Linked DNA regions of Caenorhabditis elegans. The protein of the gene in region 1 purifies or fractionates together with the protein of each later gene. This does not show direct contact. Each region holds a gene or a part of one and is shown on either strand. Other genes may lie near its edges.

Evidence for each region. Proteins that work in one complex are often made in the same cells at the same time.
Region 2: the proteins of unc-14 (region 1) and nhr-198 fractionate together in Caenorhabditis elegans (co-fractionation; one large-scale study listed by BioGRID). This does not show direct contact.

Annotation. Positions count from the first base shown.
Region 1 is NC_003279.8:7,121,629-7,132,576, forward strand, and holds unc-14 (RUN domain-containing protein), read right to left. Parts: upstream 6,619-10,948; 5' UTR 6,510-6,618; coding exon 5,880-6,509; intron 4,958-5,879; coding exon 4,841-4,957; intron 4,298-4,840; coding exon 4,215-4,297; intron 3,521-4,214; coding exon 3,341-3,520; intron 3,155-3,340; coding exon 3,053-3,154; intron 2,921-3,052; coding exon 2,777-2,920; intron 2,625-2,776; coding exon 2,445-2,624; intron 2,399-2,444; coding exon 2,247-2,398; intron 2,152-2,246; coding exon 1,986-2,151; intron 1,676-1,985; coding exon 1,432-1,675; 3' UTR 986-1,431; downstream 1-985. Other genes in the region: K10D3.8 (uncharacterized protein), read right to left, coding at 29-162, 524-566.
Region 2 is NC_003283.11:15,690,765-15,698,075, forward strand, and holds nhr-198 (Nuclear receptor domain-containing protein), read left to right. Parts: upstream 1-3,229; coding exon 3,230-3,334; intron 3,335-3,694; coding exon 3,695-4,397; intron 4,398-5,124; coding exon 5,125-5,453; downstream 5,454-7,311. Other genes in the region: Nuclear hormone receptor family member nhr-268, read left to right, coding at 1-10, 123-486, 569-831; srx-29 (7TM GPCR serpentine receptor class x (Srx) domain-containing protein), read right to left, coding at 6,021-6,099, 6,164-6,616, 6,988-7,134, 7,180-7,311.

The DNA of each region.
Region 1 (10,948 bases):
AAGATTTTTCATTGAAAATTGTCCATATTTACTTTTTCTTTCCAAAGTGATCATGAGAATGGAATCCGTGATGTCCTCCGTGGAAACCACCGCCGCCGAACCCACCACCTCCGTGATGGTCATGATGATGATGGAAGTCATGATGGAAATATCCAAAGGCTCCTAAAAACAATATGAATGAATTAACACTTAAAATTTTTTAGAGTTTCTCGATACGAGGTTTTTTTTTAAATATTTTAGCACTAAACATTATAAAAAAGGACCAAAATGTATTAATCTCGTTGCCAACCATGGGTAAAAATTATAATTTTAACAAAGTTTTTCAAAACTTTTCTCTTATGAGACCTTTTTTAAATTTGTCAAAGTTTATTTATTATTCCATTCTCAAACTCAGTCTTTTGGAGTCATTTTCAGTTTTTAGAACGGTAAAATATATACTTATAAGCGGTATTTAGCTACTTCAATTTCAACTAAAAAAACTTTACAAGAAAATAGGAATTTTATCTAAATCACAGGAACTCACCTACAACAGCCATCAGAAAAACAAGAAGAATTGTGAAATTCATATTAGATTTGGAAATTCAGTGTAAGAACTTCTTGCTTTTTACAATTTTCTCACCCCCTTTTATAGGATTTTCAAATGTTATTGTTATCTCGAAATAATTCGTTCTTATCACATCATTCGACATGAGACACTAATGGAAACTAGTTCAGATAAAAAAAAAACATCTTAAGATCAAAATGTTTTTGGTAAATATTTGTGAATTGTTGTAATTTGTGATTCGTTGAATTACTATTAATCATTAAATGTTACGCCCGGTGATCTTTGAAAATTATTGAAGGCTATATTGCAACGCCACTGAAATCCAAAAAGTGTAAAAAAAAAACCAAATTACAAAATTATTTGTATGTTTTTTCATTTTTAAGTTCATTTTCAAACATTTTAGATTATTTAATAACTTTTCCAAATTTAAAATTAATAATTAAATGCATTTTATTTATTGTTTATTTTCAAAAACAATACAAATCCGATTGGCTCTATTCCAAAATACAAATAAACATTTTCGTTTTTGTTATTGAATAATGTTTTGGCAAGCTGCAAAGAATCCAATAGTTGCCTCGATTTTAGCTGAAAAAGGAAGGAAATAAAGCAATTTTCTTCTATACGAAGATAGAAGGAGCAAAATTGGAGGAAACCGGAGGGAAAAGAGAGGCTATCTAATGACTTTTAAATTCAAAAAAATATTTGAAAGTTTTCAAACATTTTTCATGAATTCAGTTGAACATGAAAAAGAAATGAGTATCATTGAGGGAAAACGATGAATGCATGGGATGGGGGATCAAACTCGGTTGAATTGGGTGGCATGACTAGAATTATATGAAGCATCGGAAAAAAATTAAAGTTCAAGAAAAAAATAAAGTACAGAGTGTTCACTGGAAAAGAAGATGTTCAATCGGAATAACTCCATTGTTGATTTTTGAATGAGAAGTCGTTAAACGGACACATCGAGCAAGTCCTCCACGAGTTGATAGAACACTAACTTTTTCTCCGTCTGAGAGGGAGAAATTGGCAAGTGTGAAGTCACCCATTATAGATGCAACTCGAATACGAGATGTCGTTGAAGGTGATCGAGCTGATCGAGGTGTTGAAGTTGTTGAGCTGATACTGATGCGACTGAAAAATTGAAAAGTGGTTAAGAGTTGTCAAAGATCAAGAGAGCTTTTGATTGCATTTGTTGATTTTTTTAGAATCAAATCAATTGCCAAAAATAATTCAGAATATCTACCCAACACTCTTAAAAATGAGGCACAATTACAGCGAAAAAATTCACTGAAGAAATTTCAGAGCGAAATTTTTAGAGTGTGGTTGCTGAGCTTTGCTTAAAATTTTTTGATATCCTGGTCTAAATGCATATAAACTTTTAAATAAGACATGTCTCGTTTCGAAGTCTGCCAATTTTGCAATGAAAAAACAAACAAATTACCTTGTTGACAATGGTATCCTTGATCTTCTTGATGGAGCAGTTGATAATCTTGCTGGGAACGATGAACTCTTTGGAACTCTTGAGTCAGAAGCTATTCTGGATGCTCCGCCCCATTGTTGCATTGATTTGAACTGTTGGTGAACTGAATCACTGCGAGCTTCGATCACTAAAAATATCAATGTGCAAATTTCAAAAAGGGAACTATTGGGGCATTTTAGATATACATTCATTTAAGTTGTTGTTAATGAAAACTAGAATTACCTGGCAAAAGAGACAAACTGTCGACCATTCTCCAAAGAAGAGTTCTGTATTCAGAACTCGCAGAAAGAAGGAATGCATTTTCAGAATACAATGTTTTCAGCACCTTCTCTTTCAACACAATATAGCACAGCCAGCAGTCCAATGAGTTTTCTCTGTAACTCTTACTTGAACGATTATATTTCTATTTTCTCCGATTACCTGATAAGCTCCTCAAAGAAGATTTCAACTTTGACGTTGTCAGTCTTTGAACATTCTTCCAATTGTTTTACAATTGAATGAACATCTTTTGTAGCTGGGCCTTTTGAGGTAACCGTCTGAATCATTGTCCATGCCGATACATTTTCTTGAAGACCATCTTCAATTAAGCATCTCATGGCGCTGAAAATGTTGAAACATTTTAATTTGTATTAATAAGAGTCTATTTTGAGTATTTTTTATTGAACTGGACTATTTTTCCATTTTTTTTTACATTTTCAGGGTTTCTTTAAAGTTGCAGACCCTCATATTTAATATTAAAAAATATTTCTTACATGACAAGCAAATCACTTCCATCCCCTCTTGAAATTGCAGCAACGCCTTCAACAACATTCTCAACGAGTGTCCGCTTTGCTGCATAAATCGGCAATCCGACAATTGAGAGCTCTTTTGCGCGCAGTTGATGGCGAGTCGTTGAACTGAAATGAGAAATGAGATTTCGAAAGAAGGAAGAGAATGAAAAGAAGTGAATGTGCGCGGGTAAGTGATTGATGATGAGGGTCAAATGGAAGATTAAAGAGCATAATAGAGTCAGTGAAGAAGAAGCTTACGTTGTTGGTGCAAATGAGAAATTCGTATCCGTGGGTGTTGATGCGCAGTCACAAAGAACCGTCTTTGATTGGGCAGTTTGAGCCCAAACTGGTGGGTGTATCCTGAAAAAAATTGTTATGAATATTTTAAGACAGAAAACCATATTCTAACAAATAGTGAGATACACATTTATTACACAACATGTGTCTTGTATACTATTTTAACGATTGGTCATCAAACGTTTCGTCACCCTAAAGCAATTAGCCGTTAGCTTCTCAAATAGCTCATAAAAATCAAAAGATTCTTACCTCCTTCGTACTCGATAACACGTTCGACATGCTTCATTTGCTGATGCTGAAATACCAGAGATACGGCGATCAATGCAATTTGATACGATGTTTGTTGATGTTTGGGGTGCTGTTTTTGATGTACTTGATGTTAATAATTGGGTGTTGCTCTTGAAGAATGAACATGCTTCTGCGACGTGTCTGAAACATTACAATTAAGAAAATATTTTTAGTTTTGATGTGATTCTCAAAGCGTTAATAGTGTTTTGTTTAAAATGCCAAAAAACCTAAAACAAAGCTAAAAACCTCAAGTAGTTTCAAAACAATCAACGTCTTAAAGGTTTCAGCAATCCATATGATTGATTGAAAAAGCGAATCGTTGATCGGCTTGAAATTCTCATTTCGGAGGTAATTTAAACAAAGAAAAATTAGCCAAAACAGAAAAATCTATTTTTTCAATTAAAAAAAACATTATTTTCCATTCTCACTAGTTTCTTTCGTTTTTCTTTTGAGTTGTTTCAGGGTTATAGACTAGTTTGAGTATTTTAAAACTAAATCCACACTCACAATCTCCACCTTTAACCTTTTCCGATAGATTGACCAATTTTCAAAAAAGTCAATCACGTGCCCATTTCAGTTTTCTTCCCTCAATTTCCGTTCACCCCACAGAAAAAGTCCTTTCTTTTCCCAATCTTCCCTGCGCCATCTTTTCTCCGACTGGGTTAACGGGAAGAAAGAAAATGTGAAAAATCTCTGCGTCTCTTATTTTTCTCCAATGTTTCCCTTCAATAAAAGAGTGCCGGGGCGCGAAATAATCTTGAGATTAAGCCGGCGAAAAATGAAAAATGAGCGAGCGAAAGAAAAAAGGGAAAATCGAATGAAAAACGTGACTCACTTGGGCAGAAGAACAGATAGAGATTGCCAATCTTCAATGTGGCTCGGACCACTACAACCGAGTCCTGAGTCGGGAGAGTCTTCCTGAAAAAGAAAAGGATGAATAATTAATGGAAACAAATAATGTGAGAGTATTAGAGACTGAGAAATATCAGATTACGTGCCACAATGAGTTCATGGGGATAACTACTGTAGGAACAATTAAATTTATACTTATATTTAGTTAAAGCTGCGAATGGAAAACCATTTAAAAGTATTATATCGTGGTAAAACTTTTCGAAAAAATTAATCAGGCTTTTACATATCTAAAGTCAATTTTGGAATTTTTGACAACTTTTTAAAATTTTTACTAAAAATTTGGAAAGTTGAAAAAGGATACTTGGTTGACTATTATGCAAATATGTTTACTAAATCACCACTGAAGATTTTCTTGTTTAAAATTGCATGCACTTTGAGTTTTTATGATCTTACCTGCTTATTAAAACAGCATTAAAACAGCAATTAAAGCAGCTTATTGGAATAGGTATCCTATTTTAGCTGATAATCAGACTTCTGCACAATAGGGAAAACTTGTTCAATTTATCTCATGGTTAAGTTTATTTTTCAATGCTAAAAACAAGAACTTACTTGAAAGAAGAGCGGAAAATCATTGGTTGAAGTAATCGACGGTAGTGGCTCACATTTCTGCATTTTAATAATAGCATCACGGAACGAAGCGGTGAATGACTCGCAGAGAGATGGCATCTAAAAATTAATTTATTTAATTATAAAGTTTGAATGCATGTTCTAATTTCTCATGGTTACACTACTACTAAAAGACATTATCTAGACATGCGTCCGTATATGAAACATTAAAAAATAGAAACGAACGCAGTCAATCGATCAAATGAATGGGTATGATAAGTGCGGCGCGACGACTACAGCGGCGACGTTGACACAAAAAAGAAACCGATAACAATTTTGGTTGTCGCGGATTGGATTATGTAAGATTGATGTTTATTTCTTGCTTCTTCATTTGCATCCCGACGGGATACTTTCTGTTTTTTCTTTTAAAAATTATATTCTGTTAGGATCATTATCTCAAAAATAACATCGACCTACAAAATTGTTTTTAAATGGGAAGGAATGTGATGACCAACCGATGATACTATCTAAGTATTTGCAAATTTAGACTTTAGAATTTAGTTTTTGAAAAAAATGTGTTGACTAGAAAATAAACTAGCAATAAATACTTGTAGTCATTAACACAATGTTTTTATTTGTCAGTTGACAGCTATTCCCAAGATACATAGGTTTTGTATATTCTGTCAGACAGTATTTTTATTTATCAGTCTTGTCAGTATTGAACCACTTTAACAGTTTATATCCCGACGGCCAGATATAAACTGTTAAAGTAAACCGAAAAAGAGCAAGATTAGTAGGAGAAATACGGTGAATGTTGATGAAATTCAAATGTATCAAAATAAATTCTTTAAATTATTTTTTTGAAAAAATTGTTTATTTTCTTTACTGCGGAAAAAAGTGAAGATGATTTATTTTTTGGAAAAACTTAAAACGTTGCATCGAAAGAAAAAAGAACGCTCCGACCACCTCGATCTTTGCCGCAGAACACAATACAGACAAAATTTATCACCCGTCTCTTATCACTTACGAAAAAAAAACTGACCTCATGATGCATTGCCAGGAAGTCTAATTTCGGAGGCTTTTCATTATCAGACGATGTGATTGCCATTGAAGTTGGTGCTGTTACATTCTTTTCCAGAATATCCGCAAATGTTCGTTTCTGATTTTGTCCTCCAGATGAGCATCGTCTCGCTGAATCTCTTCTCCAACGATCTTTACGAATTATTTCTTCATTTGCCTCGCGAATTTCATTATCATTTACATCGACGAATCGAGTAGCATCTCCGGAAACAAAGTTGGCAATCAGTGAATTTGGACGATTTGGTGATCGAGCACTATCACTTCTTTTTACATTCCAAACATCTGGAGCACTGGCAGTACGTTCATCCAATGGTTCAGATGTCCGAATCCGACCCCAAGTTGTCAGATTATCATTTATACCTGATTGCCAATGTCCAGAGTCTGCGAATGCTAATTGAAAATCTTCTTTTTTCATTTGACATCTCTCTCGAAACTGTTGAGAGTCTAAAGAATCAGTTGATACAGAAGGATCAACTGATTCAAAGAGCATCGAATCTTCTCCACAAAAGTTGAGAGCAGCGATTCGAGCATCAATGTCATCGGGCCATTGATCCTCTTCAGGCATCATGTGCAGTTCGCACAGTTCCACCATTTTGGTGGAAGAATTGAGGGATGAAGCCCTTTGTAGACGTTCAGAATAACAGAAGCTGACTAGAAAAAGAAGAAATAAAGGGACGCGTCTCGCGCCGCCGCGTCGCCGTCGTTGTCGATCAATGAATCTGCGTCCCTGGCCTTTTGAAAAATGAGAGAACGAGAGAAAACGAGAGAAGCGTCAGCTGGCTATGCAATCCAAATTGTATCTCTCCGTCTCACTCTTCAATATACTCTTCTCGTTGTGTTTCGCAACGGAGAGATGTTGTCTGTGTCTCTGTGTAGCGCTGAAATGAGAGAAACACTCTTGAGAGTTGTATGCAAAGAATAGAAGACAGACGAACGAGAGTAGTTTGAGGGAAAGTGTTAGACGAGATGGCCGAGAAAATGTACTTGTGCATGAAAGATGATTGGCTCACATTTTTCAAGACAAAGAATCGTATTACTGTGATGGTGGACAACAAGTCGGAGAAATGAAAATTGAGGCAACTTGATACTATTGTCATACAGAATCTTAGAATCCACAAAACTTGGAGAATAAAAAAACATATAAGCCCATGAAATCATTTGAGATTGAATTATTTTTGCAAGGGCTGATTTTTGAAACATTTTCTAAAAAGTTTTCAAAAACATCTTGGTGCCAAAGTTGTATTTTTTTTGCATAAGAAAAGTTTGTGTTCAGAAAGTGACAAGAGTTTTTCCAGGAAAAAAAGTTTCCAAAAAACTTGAAAAACGGTTCCGGGAAATGTTTTAAACTCTGTTGTGGGCGTGTTCGTTCATGTTGTGATTTTTAATATTTTACGACCGTAACGTTGGTTTTCTTGAAAATGAACACTTTACGACAAAAAATCTAAATTTCATTGTTTTTAAAACTATAAAATAAAACTTTTCAGTGATTTCATTGTTAATGGGTTTGTAAAACATAATTGACTTCCATAGCTGAGAAGCCAAGATGACTTAGCCAAAATTTACTCCAAGAGTGCCAAAATTAAAACAACTCTGACATGTTTCATATTTTTTCAAAATTTTCAAACAGAGTTTTGGCAAAGTGCCATAGTTTGAAACAATTAGACATTTTTCAAAGATGAAACTGAAGTGACTGTTAATAAAACAATTTCAAAACGTTTTCAAGTCATTTGATAACTATTGAAATAATGTAGTCTAATGTTCTCTAGAGTAACTTGGAAAATGATTTGATACTGTAGTTCTTATATGTGGAATATACCTTTTCTCTTGTGGGGGGTCTTTAGGAATTTTCAGAAGATTGTCAGACTATTCTATAAAATCAAATGAGTCAAAGAGCATTCCACAATAATACCATTCCTTTGGGACAATAACCAAACGTATATCATTCATCTCAAAACTACAAACATCTCTTCCCATCTTTTTTTTGTCAAAATGGGACACTCGAGATGCTGCTGCTCTCTGTCTACTTGACACAACTGATATGAGAAAGAGAGTGCGAAAGAAAAAAGATCTATCGGTGTTTGTGTGACGTGGCAATTCATCATACTTCGTGGGTGAGAAATGATTGATTGGGACACAAGAAAATGGTAGAGGAAATTGAGAAAATGAGCTTAATTAAAATAGTGGGCAACGATGCAAACAAAATTTAAGTGATGAGAGACGGAGAAGAAGGATATGAGCAAAGAAATTTACATTCACAGAATGATTTGAAGTTTTTGTAGATTTCCAGTACGTTATTTTAAAGTTGTAAATTGTACATAGCAACTGTCGACTTGTAAAAATATTCAGATGATTTCCCAGTATTTAAATTTAATTTTTTTTCCAGGAAGTATCCAACAAAAAGCTAAATATTAGCAAATTTCGGTTTTAAAACAGTGGCTCTGTATCTATTTGCACAGGTTTTAACTGATGGAGTATTGCCAGTTGGGAAAATTATTGAAACCACTTATATGGTGAAAAAATGACCAAGTATTCTTTTTTCAAAGCTATGTAAAAACGCAAAAAAATATTGTATAATCTTGGTGTCGGAGTTGTAAATTTTTAGCTCAAGATTTCATAAGAACAGTTTTAGCTCGAAAAATTTTTGAACATTCTTTTTATTTCTTTAACATTGTCTACGAATTTTATATTTTAATTAACTTTTAATGATTTGCAATTCAACATTGGGGGACATCTAAAATGTAAGTATGATTTTTCAAAAACTTTGGTTGTAAATTTCAAAATGTCTAAACATAAAAGTTTCAATTCAGAAATTCTATTTGAATCATTATGAAAATGTTTTGTCAAACTTATCACTATCCCACATTGAGAATACAACCTTTGAAAACTCAATCAAAACGTCTTCAAAATTTCGGAAGTAAAAATAAGCATAGAAAGAGAGAGCTCGTGGGCGAAAAAATGAAGAGGAAGGAAAGAATGACGTCAGTGAAAAAGCCATTTTATGCAAGAACGAATGCGTTTTTAATGGTTCATGAACTCGTTGCGAATCTGATTTTTTTCAGACTCAAAAATATTATGTGAAACTAAATTTAAAAAATATAAGCAAGAAGGAAGTAATATTAAACTAGCTTACAAACCGTAAGGGAAGGGCCAATTCTCTAAATCATTCGTTTCTGAGATTTTAATACCATTAAATAATGGCGGCTGATTGCCAAGAAACGTGTAACAAAAAATAAAAAGTAACGGGAGCATCATTTGTAACAAAAAAGTAATACATCTTTAAGATGTTTACCATTGAACAATGTAAAAGTTCTTGTGACTTGACTCTAAAATCCAAGAGATGATCACCCGAAATAAGTTCAAATTACTGGTGGGATAACATAACCACATGTGCCTTTTCTCTGTGCTTCTACACACAATCACTTATATTTCGTTGATCTCTGTTCGATAAGAGATTGGTGTAATATCATCAGTTGCGTACACCTGGAAAGAGATAATGTTTCCCTCACGGACCTTTTCGTCGTGAGGGGATGATTTCGGAGGGCAGAGACTATCAATTATCAGATTGTCAACTGATATGAGCGGCAATAGAAAGTTTACAAGTAATTTATATACTATATGTAGTTCAATATTATCTACGAAATTGTATTATTTGAATTAAAGGTGGAGTTGTGAAAGTACGGAAATTGTTTCAAATTACGAACATGGCCCTGAAATGATCAAATATTAATTTTCAAACAGTTCTACAAAAGTAGCAATTGTTCAGTTTCCACCTCTCTCTTTGAAAAGGTAAACCGTATTTACTCTACGAGTTTCATTTTTTAATGTTGCTTTAATTATTTGTTCTTAAACATTGTGTATCTATCGGACACTGCACTGCAATGTTCAAATTACCCGATTTTTTGAAAATTTTCAATTCGCAAGTACGCTGACTGATAATTTTTTAAAAACCCGAATAATTTCAGAGTTATTTAGTTTAATGTTATTTTTGTTCTATTTTCAGTATTTTGATAAAACACCTGCTAGATTTCTTCCAACTTTATAGAGCATTTATTTACTTTAAAAGAAAGTATCTTTATTTTCTGACCATTGTAAAAATCTCAAAAACAATCTAGTATAAATTTCGAGAGAAGCAACAATGTTCTCCATCGAAGACCTAACAATTTAAGCATATAGTGGAAATTTAAGCATATAGTGAAATCCGTGGAGAAATGTAAGAAAGAATCAGTGTCAATGTGACACATTTGCAATGACTTTTCGTTGCCGCACGCTACGCTTCAAAGCAAGATGAACGTGTAGCAAGTCACATTCAACGTTTTTTATTGACAGGTGGTCTTTATTGCAAAAAAAGTAAATTTAGTTTACGTGTGACTTTTTCGCGGGAAATGCAAAATTATTGGAAAAGTACCATGATTTTGAAAACAAATGTGGTCGACTTTTTGGTCGACTTTGCAAATTATTATGATAGGTAAAAATATTTATGAAAACAGAATGATTGTCACTTTCGGTCTGTAAAGAAAAAGTTTCACAATGTTTTTTAAAAGTTTTACAACGATATTTAGTCATATTCATAGCAATTTCCAGCATATTATCAATAAAGTTAATTTTGAAAAATAACATAAGCGTACTTTTTTACAGTAATTTTACAGGCGGGACGAGACTTCAATCCTTAATTGCGCCTCTCTTTAAACCCATAGAAAAATAAAATTAAACATATAACAGTCAACTTAACAACTTAACTTAACTTTTGAAATTAAATTATAACCCTACATTATTTATTTTATGTTAACTTTTTCAAAACTTTTCCAAGAATAATTCACAAGAACGATTCAAATTCACATCATATTTTTTAATGAGACTAGCACACCACTTTGCAAAACGTACACTGTTTTCAAGAACTCATAAAGGAACAATGTATTACTCAGTCATTGACACATTGAGACCACCCAATAACCATGCAAAACACGTCACCAAGCGAAACCCATAAAATGTCGACACACTATGAACATAGCCTACAGAGGTTTTCTTTCATCA
Region 2 (7,311 bases), on another chromosome or scaffold:
TGTGAGAAGGGTTAGTTGCTCATTTTTCGATAAGTTTTATTTCAGATTAGCAGAAGAAATAGAGCGGATCTAACTAGAAAAGAATCCCAATGCCTAAGCTTGAGTAACATATATATTTTCAGACACCCGAGACACTCAACGACGTCGACCAATGGTCGAATATGCTGGCATACTCTCGAATATCTTATTTTCTAGATTTCAACTTTATTCGAGAACTAGATTCCAGCGACAAGAATACACTGTTCAAGTATAATGTCTCGCGAGCAGGGTGCTTAGCACTTGCCATGTGTGCATACAGTGAAAACAAACCAAAGTTAACATTTCCAAACGATGTTGATATTTTTCCATCTGAAATGTATAATCTTTGTGGAAGTTCTACAGCTGTTCTGAATCAAGTGTCGGGGCAAGTCATCGCCAAGTTTATCGAATTGGAAATCAGACAAGAAGAGTATCTGCTGCTATTATTGGTCATGTTTTGCAATGCATGTAAGTTTCAGTTTTAGAAATTGTTTTTTTTTTGAAAATATCATTTAACTAGTTTTCACATTTCATAATCTTTAATTTACAGCAATAACCAATAACTTCTCCCACAAGACAAAACTCATTCTATCATCCCACCAACAGGTTTACTGCTCTGCCTTGTTCCGTTATTGCCAGCTGAAATATTCAAAATCTGCACCAACTCGGTTCACAGAGCTTCTATCAGTTTTTGGAATAGTTAACAAATCTGTGAATAACATGAGCTTTTTGAGCATGATGGTGCAATGTTATAATCCAAAATTTAATTTTAAACGGCTAATGCAAGATATTTTCTCTCATACATTGTCATAATGAATTTTTTTTGTCTGTTTTTCAAACGTTTACTGGTTTTTATTAATAAAAAAAATTAAGAATTGTTTGTGTTTCTAAAATTAGGTATAAGAGATGGTGCGAATCTTAAGGTTTTCCAATTCTAACTTATGACGAGAAAATTTTTTTGGATCAAACTATATATCAACTTTATGAATAGAGAACATTTTTTGAACTTTCTGATCCAAAATACATACGTAATTCATTTATTTTTAAGATATTTCATACTCGTGCCATATACTTTTCTGTCTGGGTGATGACTGAATGTGATCTCGCTTGTGCTTCAAATTCTTCATTTTGAAAAAAAAAAAACTTTTCACGTTTACTCACTTTTTTTAGTTTTTTTTCCAGTTTTGAAAAAAAACTACAATTTGAGTTTGACATTATGCATTGCTTGGTATGCTCTGGACGTGCAACCAATAGAAACTATGGCGTAAGTCTCGAAAACTGCTTGATGACCTCGAAAACTGCTTGATGACATGTAGATCAAACCACAAAAATTTCGAATTTTAGGCGATGTCTTGTTTTGCTTGCAAAATGTTTTTCCACAGAACAGTGTACAAAAAACTGTTATTTCGATGCAAACGTATCCAAATTTGCACTATCCACTTCAAAACTCACCCAAAATGCCGAGCCTGTCGATTCCAAAAATGCTTGAATTTAGGAATGAAGCTAGCTCCTTCAAATGATCAAATAGTTAATATTGGCAATCAGTCTGATTATAACTTTGTCAAGTTGTTGGATGATTTGAAATTTAAAAACGCTCGAAATTATTTAAAATTTATAAACTTCTATTCTTTGGAGGATCCGAGCTTGTCCGAGATATTACATGATAAAATTATCATGAAATTTGTAAAAAGGGTTTGCTAAAATTCTGCAATTTCAACAGCACTCATATATTTTTTTCCAGACATCCGAGACTAAAATTAACGTTCAACAAAACTGAAATATGTTGTCTTACACTCGAATATCCTATTTTCTCGATTTCAACTTTATTCGAGACCTAGATTGACAAAAATACACTGTTTAAATATAATATTTTGAGAGCTGGATGCTTAGCACTAGCCATGTGCTCATAAAACAAAAACAAATCGAAATTAACATTTCCGAATGATGCTGATATTTTTCCATCTGAAATGTATAATCTTTGTGGAAGTTCTACAGCTGTTCTGAATCAAGTGTCGGGACAAGTGATCGCCAAGTTTACAGAATTGAAAATCAAACAAGAAGAGTATTTTCTTCTAACACTGCTCATGTTTTGTAACACCTGTAAGTTTTGGTTTTTGAAAATCTAATTTTATAATTTTTTGAAATTTTAATCTCTATAGCACGAGTGATCTATGCGACAAAACAAAATTCGTTTTATCCTCACATCAACAAACCTACTGCTCTGCTTTGCTTCGTTTTTGCCAGCTGGAATATTCGAAATCTGCACCAACTCGATTCGCAGAGCTTTTATCACTTTTTGGAATAGTGAACAAGTCGGTTGATAATTCAAACTATTTGAACATGATGCTTCAATGTTCCGATCCAAGTTCAAGAGAATGACGCAGGATGTTTTTTTTTTTTGACACCGTGTAATAATACGATATGTTTACCTTTTAGAACTCACATCATACTTAATCATACACATGACAATTGTTTTTGATTTCTTTCAATTTTTTTGCTAATAAAAAAATTTGGAGTAATCATACTGGGGTGCTATTGAAAACTTCCGGCAACCGGCAATTTTCAAAGCTATCAATTTTTCAAAAATTACAAAATTCATTTTTTCAGGATTTTGTGAGTTTTGCAAGAAACTATTATAGAAAAAATACGATCGCACAAAAATAAACAACGACGCAACGACACTCCGCTATTTTTAAGCCCCTCCCACGATTTCATTTGCACTGCGGCCGCCACATTTCAGTGCAAATGAAATCGTGGGAGGGGCTTAAAAATAGCGGAGTGTCGTTGCGTCGTTGTTTATTTTTGTGCGATTGTATTTTTTCTATAATACATATATCTAGGGAATTCTCTTCTAACAAAATTTCCTAAAGTCTCCATAACTCTATGATCAACGGTAAAATTGGAGCATTTCAAAAAATCAAAAATTTTGTGCATAAAATCGGAAGATCACTAGACAACTCCAGCTGATAAATCTTTACCAAGTTATCAATAGATCAGAACTTATGTGTCAGTGCATAAGAATGCACTTCACTTTCATGCGTATTTAAAAGAAACGACTTTACATTTGTGATTTCTGCTGCAAATCCCGTGATCAAAGTATCAAAAGCATAACATATTGTGTTAAAGATCTCTGCCTCACTTCCTCCTCCAAAATTCTATATATAAAAGAGCCGGAGTTGGCACTTGCTCTCTGAGTTTTCAGGCTTCAATTATGACTAACTACGCAAGTATTGCTAATTTCAAGACCGAGGAAAGTGTTCTTGTAAGAGAAAAGTGTGTGATATGTTTTGGATCGGCGTTGGGGATGAATTATGGGGTGAGTTAAAATTAGTTTAGTGGAAAAAAATATTTCAATATTAAAATTTTACAATAAAATGTATTAATTTTTTCTCACTTTTAGTTTTAATAAACGACCAAAAAATCCGATTTTTAAAAATTAATTTTATATTTTAACTTCGTTTTGAAAATTCTGAAAATAGCTCAAAAAGTTAAAGTTTTTAAATTTTTGACAAATTACCAAAACTTTTTCTTAAACTTTCAAAATATTACCCTGGGAAAGTTGGGAAAATGAATGTGAAAAAAATCTATATTTCGGAAGCAAAATAATTTTTAAAGAAATTACATTTTATTTTAAAAAATTTGAATCGTTATATTTTTGGTAATTTTTCTTTTATAGGCATTGACTTGCTCCGCGTGCAAGATGTTTTTCCGAAGATCTGCTGAGAAAAAATTGAGCTACAACTGCAAGAAGGACAATCAGTGCTCAATTGCTCAACGGAAATGCCGAGCTTGTCGTTTTCAAAAATGCCTGAACTTTGGCATGACATTTTACTCATTCCGGGGACAACTTGCTCAAAATTTTAATAATCTCGATCAGAAGCTGGAGCTCCTTTTAAAAGAGCTAACAATAAAAGATGGGAAAAACTACACAAAATTCATCAACTACTACTCAAATGAGGACCCTTCTTTAGTGGATGTTCTAAAAAACTCGAATGTGATGAAAATGAAAAAGCGGACACCTCACACCGTCACCGATTCCCATGACTGGGCATTCTTGGGGATCCATGCGAGGATTTCCTATTTTATGGATTTCGAGTTCATAAATAAGTTGAGTTTGAATGACAAAGTAATCCTTTTCAAATACAATGCTCTACGCATGGGATGTATGACTGAAGCAATGCGATGCTTCACTGCAAAAAGAGCATATTTGGTAACTCCAAGCGGTGAAGATGTCTACCTGCCGATATTTCGTAGAATATTCGAAAAGACTCCGGCGCTTTTGGATCAGACATCTTGCATGGTGCTTTATAAGTTTATAGAGTTGAATATTACAAATGAGGAGTGCATTCTATTGGCGCTGATTTTCTTTTGCAATCCTGGTGAGTTCTGCATAGCAAAAATGAAGGAAAAATTGCTTAAAACACAGATTTGAGTTGAAATTTTTTCGCCAAGATATGTTTTGAAAAATTTAAGTTTGAACCTCCTGCCCAATTTTTTAAGGTTATAACTTCGTTCAAGACAAAACTTTTCAAAATCAAAATTAAAATTTCGGCGAAAAATTGTTTAAAAATTGAAATTTTAATTTGGCACCAAAGATTTTTTGAACATTTAAAAAAGTTTTCAGTCGAAACTATTTGACAAAAAAATGCAAAAAAAATTAATACCAATTTTTGTTGAAAAATTAAAATTTGGACTTCCCGGCCATATTTTTTTGCAAGATTTTTGTTTGAATTTCTCGCATCAATTTGTAAAAAATTTTAATTTTAATTTCCTGACAAAAATTTGTTTCAAAAATTAAAATGTGCAATTTTTACCAAACTTTTTAAAACGATATTTTTATTATTTCTCGCCGAAACTTTTCAAATTTAAAATTCAAATTTCGGGATAGTTTTTTTTTAATGTTTTTAATTTGCGCAAAAATTTGAATTTCCTTGAATTTAATACTTTAGCTTTTAGAACAATTGCCATACTCAATTTTAAGAACAATTTGGCGAGAAATTAACGTTTACAATTTCCTTTTAAAAATATTTTTTGAAAATAAAAATATTTTTTTCAAACAATTTTGGCTGGAATTCGCATTTCAATTTTCTAAAAAAAATTGTTCAGCAATTTCCGATGAGCTATCTGAAAAAGCTAAGGAGACACTATCCCGACATCAAAAGCGTTACTGCTCTGCATTGCTCCAATATTGTCAGTCAACATGCCAAAAATCCGCACCTTCTCGGCTCACTGACCTCCTATCCTTGTACAATGTCACCAACAAGGCTTATGACGGTTTTCAATACCTTTGCATGACTTTCCAATGTCTTGCACCAGATTTTAGAGGGAAACAACTCGTATATGATACTTGTTTGGACATCGAGAAAAATAATAGTAAAGAAAATTCGTCTCAGAAGGTGCAGAAGCAAAATCAGAAAATAAATGGAATCTTTTAATGTATAACTCGTATTCACGGAATTTTTAAAAATTAATATGTTAATACATGTAATTTTGAAACAAATCATCTAAACGAAAATAAGAATATTTCTCCCTACGTGCCTGCTTGCCTGCCGCCTGCCTGCCTACGTGCCTGCCTAGCACTTGTCTTTCTACAATCACCTCTTTTCTTAAAAATGTAGTTTTCTGAAAATCTATCGATTTTTTTGAAAATTCAATTGTTTTGTATATTTATGATTTTTTTTCGGATAATTCATATTTACATTGGAAATTGAACTTCTTTTAAAAATTTATTGATTTTTCAGAAACGTTGCTGTATTTTTTGAGAATTTCCCATTTTTAAGGGAATTTTTATATATTAATTTCAGAAAAATTATAGCTTCTAGTGAAAAAAATCTTATTGCTGGGTGAGATATTCATTAATTTTCTATTAAAATGTGTTTTCCGAAAAAGTTTTTGATAAATTCATCAAAAACTTCTCGTGGAGAAGAATACCAAAAAAATTACAAAACCGACACCCTCCGAACAATCACGAAAACTGCAGTGGATTCTGAATTGAAAACAAATTAAGTGAAATGAATAAATTGGCTGATACCTTTCTTAAAAGCAGCTCTCAGTTCTCCATTAGACGCCAAAATTATTCCTCTGAAATTGTTTGGAAAGCAACTGTGATATGACCTGTAGGCACTCAGGTAGGCCTGAAACTCACCCCTCTGCGGCATGGATAAACACCCAAAAAGTAGCAGCAATAAATTGAGCAATGACCCAGTCTGCATCAATGACTGGAGCCACAAAATAAAAAGCAACCTGGCCTGTAAATATCGATAAGCCTTGAAAACAGGTCTGCTTCACAAAATTCCATTCTCTTCTCCGTTGAATCGCGGAAACTTTCAATCCGGCCGCATTTATCAGAACTCGTGACTGTTTTCTTCCTTTGTAAGCAGTCAGTAAATTCAGAAACAAAGTGATTATATCGATTCCCGTGTTGAAAAGGAAATCCGAATACCAGATCAGAGAATCGCAAAAATCCGAATTCTCAAATTCGAATGACCAGTGGTTGGGGTTGTATTTGAGGAAGCACTTGGAGAACTCATAGCAGACTGCACAAAATATAATACAAGTTATCCACAAGTAATTCCGCATGATTACTGTGTTCGGGTTACTGGAAGAGAGAAATGTGACTACGGCTAGCGCCCGACATCTGCAGGGTTTCAAGACAGCGCATCTTGTGGCGGAACCCGGGAGATGTCTGGTGCACGAATATGTGTTACTAACTTGCTGTTTTAGGCACCCACGGAAGATAGACGTTTTTTACGCTCTCCACACGTGGTGTCAGAGTGTCACATTTCGGTTTGACCTGCGAGATTTGCGATAATTTAGACGCCGATTTCTAAACCGATTTTGCATGGTTAACAGCGTGCCGACGCCGCACTTTCCTGGGCAAAAAAATCCCGCATTTTGTAGATCAAATGGTACTGCCTGACACCACGTGCCTCCCCCATATCGCCCGCACCACTTATTGCTCAAAATTACCTGAAAAGTTGCTCATATCGATGCTGAAAAAATAGCACGCAGAATCGATTGAGAGCAATCAATAAATGAGATAAATTCGAAATCTCGTAAATTGTCATGCAAGTGTTTCCAACATAATGTGAGATGTGAATCATAGGAGGTGAGTATCTTTAGAAAAAAAACTATTTTAAATTGTTTTCCTGTAACACCTACCTAACTTGTAAAGGGAAAACATACACTAGAAATATTGCACAGGTCAGGATATTACAAATTGCTTGGTTTTTAGTGATTATCCCAAAAGAGCCATTCATGGAGTACGTTTTACGGATTGCAAGGACTAAAACT